Neodiprion lecontei: one gene and its partner. Each later gene encodes a partner of the first gene's protein in a complex. Links are inferred from orthologs where the notes say so. Each region holds a gene or a part of one and is shown in the gene's direction. Other genes may lie near its edges. The genes, in order: phosphatidylinositol 4-kinase beta and Golgi resident protein GCP60.

The links.
Region 2: the proteins of phosphatidylinositol 4-kinase beta (region 1) and Golgi resident protein GCP60 are in contact, whole or in part, in an NMR structure (PDB 2N73), measured with the Homo sapiens proteins. The link is inferred for Neodiprion lecontei from reciprocal best matches to the Homo sapiens genes PI4KB and ACBD3. Residues at the interface, in NP_001317650.1 of Homo sapiens: Val37, Gly38, Val42, Ile43, Asp44, Pro45, Val47, Ala48, Gln49, Lys50, Ala51, Cys52, Glu54, Val55, Leu56, Val59, Lys60, His63; in NP_073572.2 of Homo sapiens: Gln245, Ile246, Ala249, Leu250, Gln253, Thr254, Gln257, Phe258, Tyr261, Gln265, Tyr266, Leu276, Leu280, Gln283, His284, Gln287, Tyr288, Gln291, Leu292, Val295.

The regions. Positions count from the first base shown.
Region 1 is NC_060260.1:3,883,081-3,887,933, reverse strand, and holds the start of phosphatidylinositol 4-kinase beta, read left to right. Parts: upstream 1-1,655; 5' UTR 1,656-2,143; intron 2,144-3,290; 5' UTR 3,291-3,352; coding exon 3,353-3,537; intron 3,538-3,624; coding exon 3,625-4,511; intron 4,512-4,853. UniProt on the Homo sapiens protein: Phosphorylates phosphatidylinositol (PI) in the first committed step in the production of the second messenger inositol-1,4,5,-trisphosphate (PIP). May regulate Golgi disintegration/reorganization during mitosis, possibly via its phosphorylation.
Region 2 is NC_060265.1:28,507,704-28,513,660, reverse strand, and holds Golgi resident protein GCP60, read left to right. Parts: upstream 1-1,972; 5' UTR 1,973-2,205; coding exon 2,206-2,383; intron 2,384-2,989; coding exon 2,990-4,065; intron 4,066-4,607; coding exon 4,608-4,667; intron 4,668-4,829; coding exon 4,830-4,931; 3' UTR 4,932-5,199; downstream 5,200-5,957. UniProt on the Homo sapiens protein: Involved in the maintenance of Golgi structure by interacting with giantin, affecting protein transport between the endoplasmic reticulum and Golgi. Involved in hormone-induced steroid biosynthesis in testicular Leydig cells.

The DNA.
Region 1 (4,853 bases):
TTATTACTCGATCAATTGGTTCAACTTCTTTGAGAATTATCTATAGATTATTAGTTATGTATGAACGTTCGACGTTATAACCGAAAGATAGAAAATTCTCGAAACGTTTTTGAAACTAATAGTTAGGCATTCGTAGCAGCGTACTTTCGAATATGGATAGTATTAAATTCATGCCTAAGTAACGAAGTAAGGGGGAGTGTAATTAAAGTGGAAGATTCGATTCGAATTGATCACTTTTTATCCCGTCGCGTCTAGTTTTCAGATCCTTATCGTTGCACGGCATTGTCGGTGACATTGCGATTACGATGTTACATGTTACAACGGGTAGCCGTGTCTATTGCTTTTGAGTATATAAGCCATTGTACAGAACATTACAGAATGTTTACTTGTAGCCATTGCTGCTCGGGGTGAAGCGCTTTAACATATTCTCTCTCGAGCTGTCTTTCTCTCTCTACCCGTGGAAGCAGGTAGGTAGAAAGCGTATGAAATTACAGGAAGTATGGGCAGAGAAGGCAGGATTGCCCGGTAATCATCGCCACGACGTTATTGTAATACACGCAGCTATAAACTCGCACGATATTGTATTCAGCTGCCATCTTCTTCGTCTTCTTCCACATATTCTCGCATATTATTTTGTGGGTAAACGTGTCGGTGTCAGAGGGAGGGGGGGGGTCTTACAACTCGAATGAAAGAGTAAAAAAAAAAAACAAGAAAAAAAATCTCGAGTCAAGGATCTTTGAAAATAACAATAATAATAACAATTACACTCGGTGGGAGAAAAGAGCTGTTTTAATTCGTACAATATCAATTTACATTTCGGCGGATGGAGATCTCTGGAAGCAACCGCAAGAGATACGCAAAGATGATTGTATATATACATATAGGTACAGATTATATAGTTATACAGCGGCGAAGCACACACGTCGTAGATTTTGCGTCGTATTACAGCGTATCGTACGGATATCGAGCCGAGATAAAATCAACCGAGCTAACTGTGTCCGATATACTCGATTCGTATCGCGTCGTTGGTTTAAAAAGAAATAAAAAAAAAAAATTACATTATTGTCAATTGCCAGTTTCGTTTTTTTCATTCTTTTCGTTTCGTTGTCTACACGATCGCGATCCTGAGAAAACCGCTTGACAAAAGAGTACCGAAAACTAAGAGCCGCGATTCATCGCTGAAAATAAAGCAAAATAGGTACTCGAAGAAAATAAAGTGAGACGAAGAGAGGCGAAACTTCACAGCGGCAATCGCGCTGTTCTCTCGCTCGGTGCAGCTGCACTCGCGGTTGTATGACCTTTCCCATCCAAACACCCAGCGCGGTGGGTTTTCCTTACTACCAACGTAACGCGGACCTGCGACGAAAATTCTACGCAGTGACGCTGACGCGTATGCGGCATAAAACAAACGAACCACGCCGCGGTTAGCAGAGGCGAAGAGGCGCCAGACGCGAAACAAATCGCCTCGTAGAAATCTGACGGATAAAAGGAAACGCGGGGACGATTATTCGGTAATGATGACAATCAAAGTGCACGCGCTCCCCAAGCCAGCCTCGTGAAACGCTCGTGGCGTTTTCGCATTCCGACGTTATCTGGGTTTAACGCGAACCGACAACACCGCCGCCCGGACTTTGCGCTCCCGTTCAGTTGGCACCCGTGCGTCGAGGTGTGTGGATCCGACGTAGAGGCAGTCGAATGTGTGTCGCCTTGCCTTTCGCGTTGGCATAACTCGTTCCTCTCTGCGTCATTTTACCACTGTTTTTTTTTTTTTAGTCCTGTATTCGTTGTAAATTGTTCGTAGTGCGATTGTCGTTAGACAGTGATAAGGAGTGTCGTATTAATATTTATAGTCGAGTATTCGTCCACGTATCGTCGATCGTTTTTACCGAGAGTTTTCACGGGATAGGTTCGTGAATTCAACACGGTAGTGACAGACAGCCATTGGAAAGGAAGGATCGCGCCAGCGGTCGTATCTTGTCTCGTTTTCGTTTTTGTGTATCTGTGTTTCCAGCGAGTGGGTTTGATATCGGTTTTTATTTCTTTCTTACTCCGTTCGGATACACATTCTCTTCGCATTTTATCACTACGCTCCGGATGATGATGCTCTCCTGATTGACGGACAACCTTGCTTTCGATAAACAAGGTAGGCATTTTATACCTCCGTAGTATACATACACGTACGCATGCACGCGCGTACGTGTATACCGTGCATGTATGTGTATTATACTACGGTTTACGCGTACTACGGCATTGCCAAGGGACGCCAAACCCTTCGCTTGCCTGCCTGACCTCCGTAGGGTGGAATTTAATTGTCAACACCGGCACACCCATTGCCTTCGGGATGTTGGAAGACCGAGGCGAAACACCACGCAAGGAATGCCGTGTAGCCTAGATTTAGTCCAGTATCCTCGTTACTTTCACATTCTACACTTGTCAGCCAAACGTTAAATTTCGTTTCTTGATCCTTTCTAGCAGTCCGTAAATATACCGGATTATTTGTATATCGTCCAAATGGTCGCACAACTATCTTTCGACTATCTCTCTCCCTCTCTCTCTCTCTCTCTCTCTCTCATTTTTCCTACGCGATTTACCACTACCGCGTTCTTCAACGTTAGAGCATATCTGCAATACGGAGTAAAATTAAAAACAATGTCTCAAATGCCCGTTAAACACTTATTTGGTGTTTATGATTGATTTTGAACCTAAAATTCGTTTTCCCGATCATTCGGGTTTCTTTTGACTCTCGCTAGTTTGTAAATCATTTGTGGCTGTTTTATGTATCCAGTATGTGTTCACAAATGTCAAATCGTGTTTTTCAGCGTTACGAATTCTTTGATCTTTAGTTCAGTGGAACTCTTACGTTCGTAAAACATTTGTAATATATGACATTAGGTGTGGCCTGAGAATTTTTCCACCATCAATTATTACCCAGGATGGTTAAAAAATAATCGGTTAATTAAGAATAACATTTGTATTAAATTATTATCGAAGCACAAGTGATTTTTCTTAACTAACCAAACTAATGTGATTATTGATAAACTTAATTAACAAATATTTCTATTTTTTATCGTGTCAATTGTATAACATTGATACACAACGATGAAGGGAACTTAGCATAGTAATATAACAGAATTTCAATTGAAAGTATTATTTCTGAAGCAATTGAAAAATTATCGCCTCGAATGTTGTCGAGTTTAAAAACAGAAATCAAAGGGCGGATAACGACACTGACGACATACCTGAGAAAATTCTGTAGACAGTTTTGTAACAACTGTGCTTTATTTTCCTAGGTATAGTGGCAAAATGAGCTTTAGATGACTGTTGGCTGAGCCGTTGCTCGTCATATGTTAGCATGAGCGAAATAGCTGCTGTAACTGGATCCAACGGTGGTTTGACCCGCCTGGAGACTGTGGCTCATGTCAAGAGGCAAAAATTAACCGGTTACAATGTTCCTCCCGTGCACGGCAGGCCTAACCCACCGATTAGCGTGCGAAACAGACTCAGTACGCATCAAAGGAACCTCAGCCTCGACTTCAGGTAAAATTTGTGCTTTTTCGTTTTTCAGCGAAGTTTGGTTGTCGGCATGACGAAACCTATATGTTTTCATTTTCTCTTTTAATATAGATCTATGGGAATCCTTTTGCCGCCGGTACCTCAGGCCACATCGGCTACACTAACGATGCATCACAGAAATCGTAGCCTGGATTCGGCTCTTCAAAGAATTCCAGAAGTCGACGTAACTCCGAGTCCCGAATGCGAGGCAAATCCTACTCCGTCGGCGATCGTCGTTCCGTCGATAAAGGGGCACAACAGAGAACGCGAAGACCTTGCAAGTCTTGGATCTGACGACTCTGGTATTTTGTGCGGTTCGGAAAGCGGTGCCAGCGATACGGCTAATGCGACAACGAGGGAATCCAGCGTGGAACATTTGCACAGTAGAGAGAGTTTGGACTCTGCACGTTCGCAAGCTGGTGATTTGGACAGTGTCGACGTTGTGGATGGGGATATGAGTGCTGTGTCAAATTCTTGTGTCGAACTAGTGCCTAGTGTTTGTTTAACTAAAGAAGTTTGTAACGGTCGGGAAGAGGAGGAGGACGACGATGTTGCGGACAGTTTTGACGACAGTGAACCCAAAAATTTGAACTCCAAAGATGTTAGAGACCGCCGGCAGGGAGATTTTACTTCCAAAGAATTATGCTGCGGTGATTGTTCCTCCAAAGACTCTATGAAAAACAATGATAGTGGTCAAGTTGTATGTAGACATACCCTCCATGTCAACGCTTTGCAAAATGATCTGGCTGATGCTGCGATCACTTTGTGCTGCGGCACAGGTCAACCAGAGACTAAACTGACCAAGAGACAGCTTGAAGTCTGTAGGCAAGAGACTTTGGCCCAACCAAAATCTTCTAAAGGATGCTTGCTGAGGTTATTTGAGAGCCAAGTATTTGACATGTCTATGGCCATTTCTTATCTCTTCAATTCCAAGGAGCCTGGAGTGCAGAGCTACTTGGGTGAGTCACTGTTTGTTGATTACGTTTAACCGGTCTTAAAACGGTCTGTATCAAAAATAGCTTTTTTTCGTTCTTATCTCTCTATTAGAGAAACGGTGTTATTTTACTTATAATTTAACGCATACGTATTCATGATTGGAAAGAAGTTTTAATTAAAATAAATGGTAGTAACGCGATTTCATTAGCATCTTCATTGAACATTGTTTATGGTAACCAGATAAACAAACAACTCTGTAAATGTTTTCTGCATAAAGAGAAGAGCTAGATGGATAGGTGCGAGATAGCGAAAAGGAAAAAATTTTTTGAAGGAATAAAGTTTTCAGAGAATTGTGCTTCGTAATA
Region 2 (5,957 bases), on another chromosome or scaffold:
ATTCCAAGATAAATAGTTCATAATCAAAGCATAAATGTGTCTGCGTGGAATGGAGAGAATGAGCGAAATTTAAAAGTATACTCAGCTGTTATCGTTGCGTGAATCGATTCGCTTCGTACATTTTTTTACTATTATCTTATTTTAATAAAATTCATTTCACGTAACATTGCTGTGAATTTTTGTAGAGTGTATTTTTTACGGATCGTATTGAATGTAAATGTAAATATTTTAAAAATATCTCAGAGATCTTTGGTTTATTCACGATTTCGGGACTCCTGATTTCTGGGGAATCACGTTGCCGAGATAGAGGTGGAAATTGGAAAGATTTCCGCCGGCATGGGTGGGGGTGCCACGAAAGAATCGATCGGTCACTGCTCGTAGCTCTGTATAATCAATCGGAGATCATTCAAAATGATGCATGAGGGAAATATAATTTTTTAATGACAATAGACCCTTGAACTGAAGTATCTGGGCTTAGGCTACGAGTGTTCCCAAACAGACTCCCGCCCACCACTAAGCTTCGATAAACTAATATTAGAACCGATATCTGTACTTAATAATGCATCGATTTTGATAAATTCATTTCCGCATGCCTATTATATCTCTGAAAAATTATCATCTTCGGTCGTAGCACGAATTTCAATCTCAGCTCAAGTACATTTAACCGGTACGCGCAATACGATAGATACTCGTGCCTGTGTATTTTTAAGAAAGTTTTTTTCCCAGAGTTTCTTTTTTTCTTCTTATTATGTTTAATATTAACAGTGTGATACGTTTGTCGTCTGAGATCACACTGCAGGGTATAATATTGTTGAACAAGAATGTAATTAATTTTCGACATATCTGTTTCATTACAAAGTAACTAATTTTATTAAATCACTAGAGCTTCTGGTAGTTCAGACATATAGGTATATATGATACTTAAAATGATTTTCATCAAGCACACGGGTGACATATGGTCGTAATCTTTGCTTATCAAAAGGTAGTGATAAGAATTTTTTTTTTTCGTTTCAGCTTTTTTCTATTTTCTTCCTTTTTTTTCAAGAATTAACTCGCCATATCTATATTACATAAAAGTTAATGTTATTTTCCTGTGTGAAAAAAAATGAAAAAAACAGGATTTCCATTCTTCTTCACAAAGGTGCATTGATTTTGAAAGTTTTATGTTCTCGGACTATGTGCGATGTGAGATATGATTACGCCTGAAAATAACTGTCCGGCTGAAGGTATATTTATAATAACTATCGCGTTTTCTGTTGTTTTTATTTTTTGCACCATTCTTTCCAAGTAGAAAATTAGATTTTCAACAGAAAATTGATCTTATCGAGGACTTGAATTATAAATCAATACATACGACACGGAAATTTTAATGAATCACTGCCGTATATCTCGGAAGAAAAATTAGTATTCCTTTTATTTTCCCCTCACTCTTGCCGCAGCAATAATTGATGCTTATAAATATACTAATTAACAAAAATACCAAGTATCGCGTTCGAATTTCAAACGTTCAAATCATCGTTCGATTTCGCCAAGGATCGGTTAATCACCGCAGGAAGTATGGCCTGCCTAGAAAATTCAACTCCATCTCTTATCCTCAAAATAATCCACGAAATCCTACAGTGTACATCGTTGATGTTGTGTGTTGACCCTACGTAAATGAAAGTGCATTTTACGTTGTCGACAACGTGTAAATGGAATTAGAAAGAAAGAAACGTAAGTAAGCAGCAAGATCCACAGCTGCTGAAAAATTTTATAAATCATTTTAACTCCCGCTATTTTTTTTTTTTGCGCACATTAAATTATGAGAATAAACCCTGGTTCTTCGTTACATCTTACATCGCCCCAACTTGTCGCACTAATTTTTCGGCGACTGGTAAGACCAGCGCGTTACCTTGCCGACCGTGCAGCCTTACCAACAGTGCAACGACGGCTCAATCAGTTCGGCCAACTCTCAAGGCCAGCGTGTTCTTCGCGCAATATTTATCGCGCATATCGGAGTCGTCAGAAACACACTGTTCCCGAAGCGGGTTAGTGATGAGGAGCGTGTGACTATTGCGCGAAGTGTTAATTGTTGCCCACCTGTCCCAGGCGGCTTAGAGGAATACTCGACGGGTGTAAAAAATCAGAAATTCACGGAGTCGGATTCGGGACGCATCGACGTGTCGAGAAAGCAACAGCGGCGGCAGGCCGCAGGGTTAATTGCAAATGGCGTCGCCAGGCGATGACGTATCCGCTGCAGTAGGAGATTTTGACAAGCTGAAGTTGTCGCCGGTGAGAACAGCCGACGGTACGAATTCCCGGAACGATGCGAAAGTCTTCGAACCCCATCTCTGGGGCTTCGAGACCCGCGAACTCTACAAGATTGCCTTAAACTTCTACAAAGGTGAGGCGTCTCTCTGCATCATCTCCTATGCATGCTTCTTTTTTTTTCTCTTCTACGTATATCTCGTCTGACAGCTCGATCGGGCTCATGGCCAGCTCGCTGGATCGAAGCTTCAAATATTCAACGGAATTCTTGATAGCCGACCTTGTTTATACCTCGGCAATCAATTCCCTGGACATTTATTTGCGTCTTATTCACTTACTGTCTTGTTTGTTTTCCCCGCACTTCTTTACCCTGCTGTCCTTGGCGGTACGTTTTTCTTTTGAACAACGCACAAAGCTCGCCTCCTCGATTGCTATTCAATACCAATTTGCATAGCTCCCATTGTGTGTTTATGCTTTGGTGTTTCGACTCTGCCACAGTGACGTCGATCTTTTAGCGCTTAATAAATCGCAGATTTGCTTTGGTAATGTCACCTTTGAGTTTTGTGTCAATTGATTCTTCAACTTCGTCGCTACTTCGACTCCTCGTTCATATAACACTAATGCCAAAACACGCAAGTATCCTATATTTTCAATGCACGTATTCTCACTCCGTTCTAAGTACTAAACGTCCCTGTTTGCAACGTTGAATCTGACTTACGAACACGATTATTCACATTTTCAGAAAAGGAAGGTAAAGCCGTTCACTTGTCTTACGAGGACAAGTTGAAGTTGGTCGCATTTACGCAACAAGTGATGCATGGAAAATGTACAGTAGAAAACGCGCCTCCCTTGGGAGTATTAGATATGATAGGTCGGGACCGTCGTTTGGCTTGGCAAAACCTTGGGGACATATCGAAAGAGGAAGCGATGGAGGGTTTCATTGTATTGCTCGACAAGCTGTGCCCGTTGTTCAAGACCGTGGTCGAGGCGCAGAAAAGAGATCTGGAGGAGAAGGCTAGACTGAAAAAAGAGGAGGAATTGAAGAGGCTGGAGAAGGAAGAGCAGCTCAGGGAGCTTGAGAAGCAGCAGCAGATGGAAGAGGAGGAGAGGCTAAAGCAGGAGAGTCAGAGACGGCAGATACAGGAGGCGTTGAATCAGCAAACCTACCACCAATTCAAGGCCTATGCGGAGCAGCAGTACCCCGGAAACCCGGAGCAGCAAGGCGTGTTGATAAGGCAACTGCAGGAGCAGCACTACCACCAGTACATGCAGCAGCTACATCAGAATCAGCTGGTGATAGAGGATCAGGGCTCGGACACCGAGAAGAAAGAGAAGCTGGCGGAAATCCTGAGCAGTGAGAGCGAGAAGAACGCTGCCGATTCAAATGAAACTACGCCACTGAATGAGAATGATTCGGATGACGCAGAGCCGGACTGGCCACCCGTGTCCGCGGCTGAAATGTGGACTAGAACCGGAGTAGAAGAGTTCAAAGAGATCATTCGCAAGGAGGCTGGCGACGCTGTCATCAAAGTTGGACACGGAGAAACCGTCACTGTTAGAGTTCCAACCCACGAGGATGGTTCCTGTCTATTTTGGGAGTTTGCCACCGACGGGTACGACATAGGGTTTGGGGTTTACTTTGAATGGTCCAAACCGGAGACCAACCAGGTCTCCGTCCACATCAGCGAATCTGAGGATGAAGAGGAAGAGGAAGAGGAGTACGAGCCCAGGGAGGACCTGGAGAATGGAGCAATGAACGGAATCCCAAAGTCTGAATTCAGTAAACCGATCACACCGCCGATCAGTGTTATTGTACCTGTGAGTTTGCATTTTCGTTTGACTACTATTTCTGCTATTTACGTCTTTGCCAATACTTAGCAACGAACCACAAAAGGTTTGACACTAGCTTTCACGGCGAGTGAAAAGAAATAAAAGTTGAGATATGTCAAGTATATGTTTAATTCACAATCTGTACATCAACAATCATCAGAACGGTAGACAATTTGCTAATCAGTTAGAACAGCTGGTGAGTAGTTGATCTACAAGGTCGATTTTATTTTTAGAGCACACATGTTAACATCGACATTTGAATTAGTAACGATCAATTAGCTAACTTAATTCCCTGCCTTACTAAATATTTTATTACTACGATAGCCAATTTCAAATAACAGTGTAATGCAATCTTTGGCTAACGAGGTAAATGCATGTTAGTCCCGTTTGGACAGCTATTTCCAAAGAAGGAACAAGAATAGCCTCTTTCAATTGTTAGATGCGCTTACTTTCACTAGAATTTGGCAATGAGATAGCAAACCGAAAATTTCATAGCTATTAAGCTGATTTCGTTCACTTTTACTCTTCAGGTCTATAGGCGAGATTCACAGGAAGAGGTTTATGCCGGTAGTCACCAATATCCGGGACAAGTAAGCATAGTTCAATGATTATATTGTGTAAATTGAAGTTTATTTTTTCGCAAGTGATACAAATAATCATTTTCTTGAAATTTCTTTTCGTAATAATCACCTGTAAACGTAAAATCCCACGAAAAATCGTGTTGACTTGTTTTTTTTTTTCTATTTTCACAGGGTGTCTACCTCTTGAAATTTGACAATTCCTATTCGCTTTGGCGCAGCAAAACTCTATATTACAGAGTTTATTACACGCGACCGGGTTTTACAAATAATTAGTATTATGATATATAATGAACTACTTAAGTACGTCGCATAGCTATTCAACACACTAGCCTGAAACGACTGTCTGTACGCTAGTCTAAACAAAACAAAACGACAAAAATATATATATATAAATATACGTCTATATTTCACGTACTGTCTAGCCTCTAAAAAGAAAAAAACAAGACAAGACATGCAAGAAATTCAGAAAAAAGATACATATGCATATATATTTATTATATTTACGAAGAAATTGAATAAAAATTTTTTTTCATTTGTTTTATCTTTTGTTTTGTTTTTCTTTTCTTTTTTCTTTTTTTTTTCACTTCGCAGACTAGTGCAGCAATTATTATTTATGGCACAACTATAATTAGATGAAATTTAATTATTACTATTCATATCTGATAATTAATATTCTGACGTTGACGTATAGAATTATCCCAGGTATAGTTTTTAAATGATAATACTCACATACATATATATATATATATATATATATATATATATATATATATATATATATATATATATATATATATATATATATATATATATATATATATATATATATATATATACGTGTATATGTATGTGTGTGAGCGTGCGTGCATATAATACTATACTGATTACATTTTTTAAATTTTTTTCGTTTTTTTTCTTTGTTTTTTTTCTACGCAAAAACGGTAATAGTACATCGTCTATACGCAGTATATTATAACATATGGCGTGTACAACATGCATCTTATTTTATTAAGTGTATAATTGCTGCCACGGCATCAACGAACGTCCGAAAAAGAAACTTGATACGTATGTATATTCGCAACGAAAAACACATACTTATAAATGCCTATGCGCGTTAATTAGATACTAGGTCAGAATTTTGATAATTTTGGCTTAGGATTGATTTCATTATTATCGTATTGACCATTTATGACACGTGTAAAATATTTGTTGTTATAATAATAATAGTTGTAACAATACTTGTGTTTTCAGCATATTTAATATTATTGTATGTTGACATTTATATATATACAGATGATT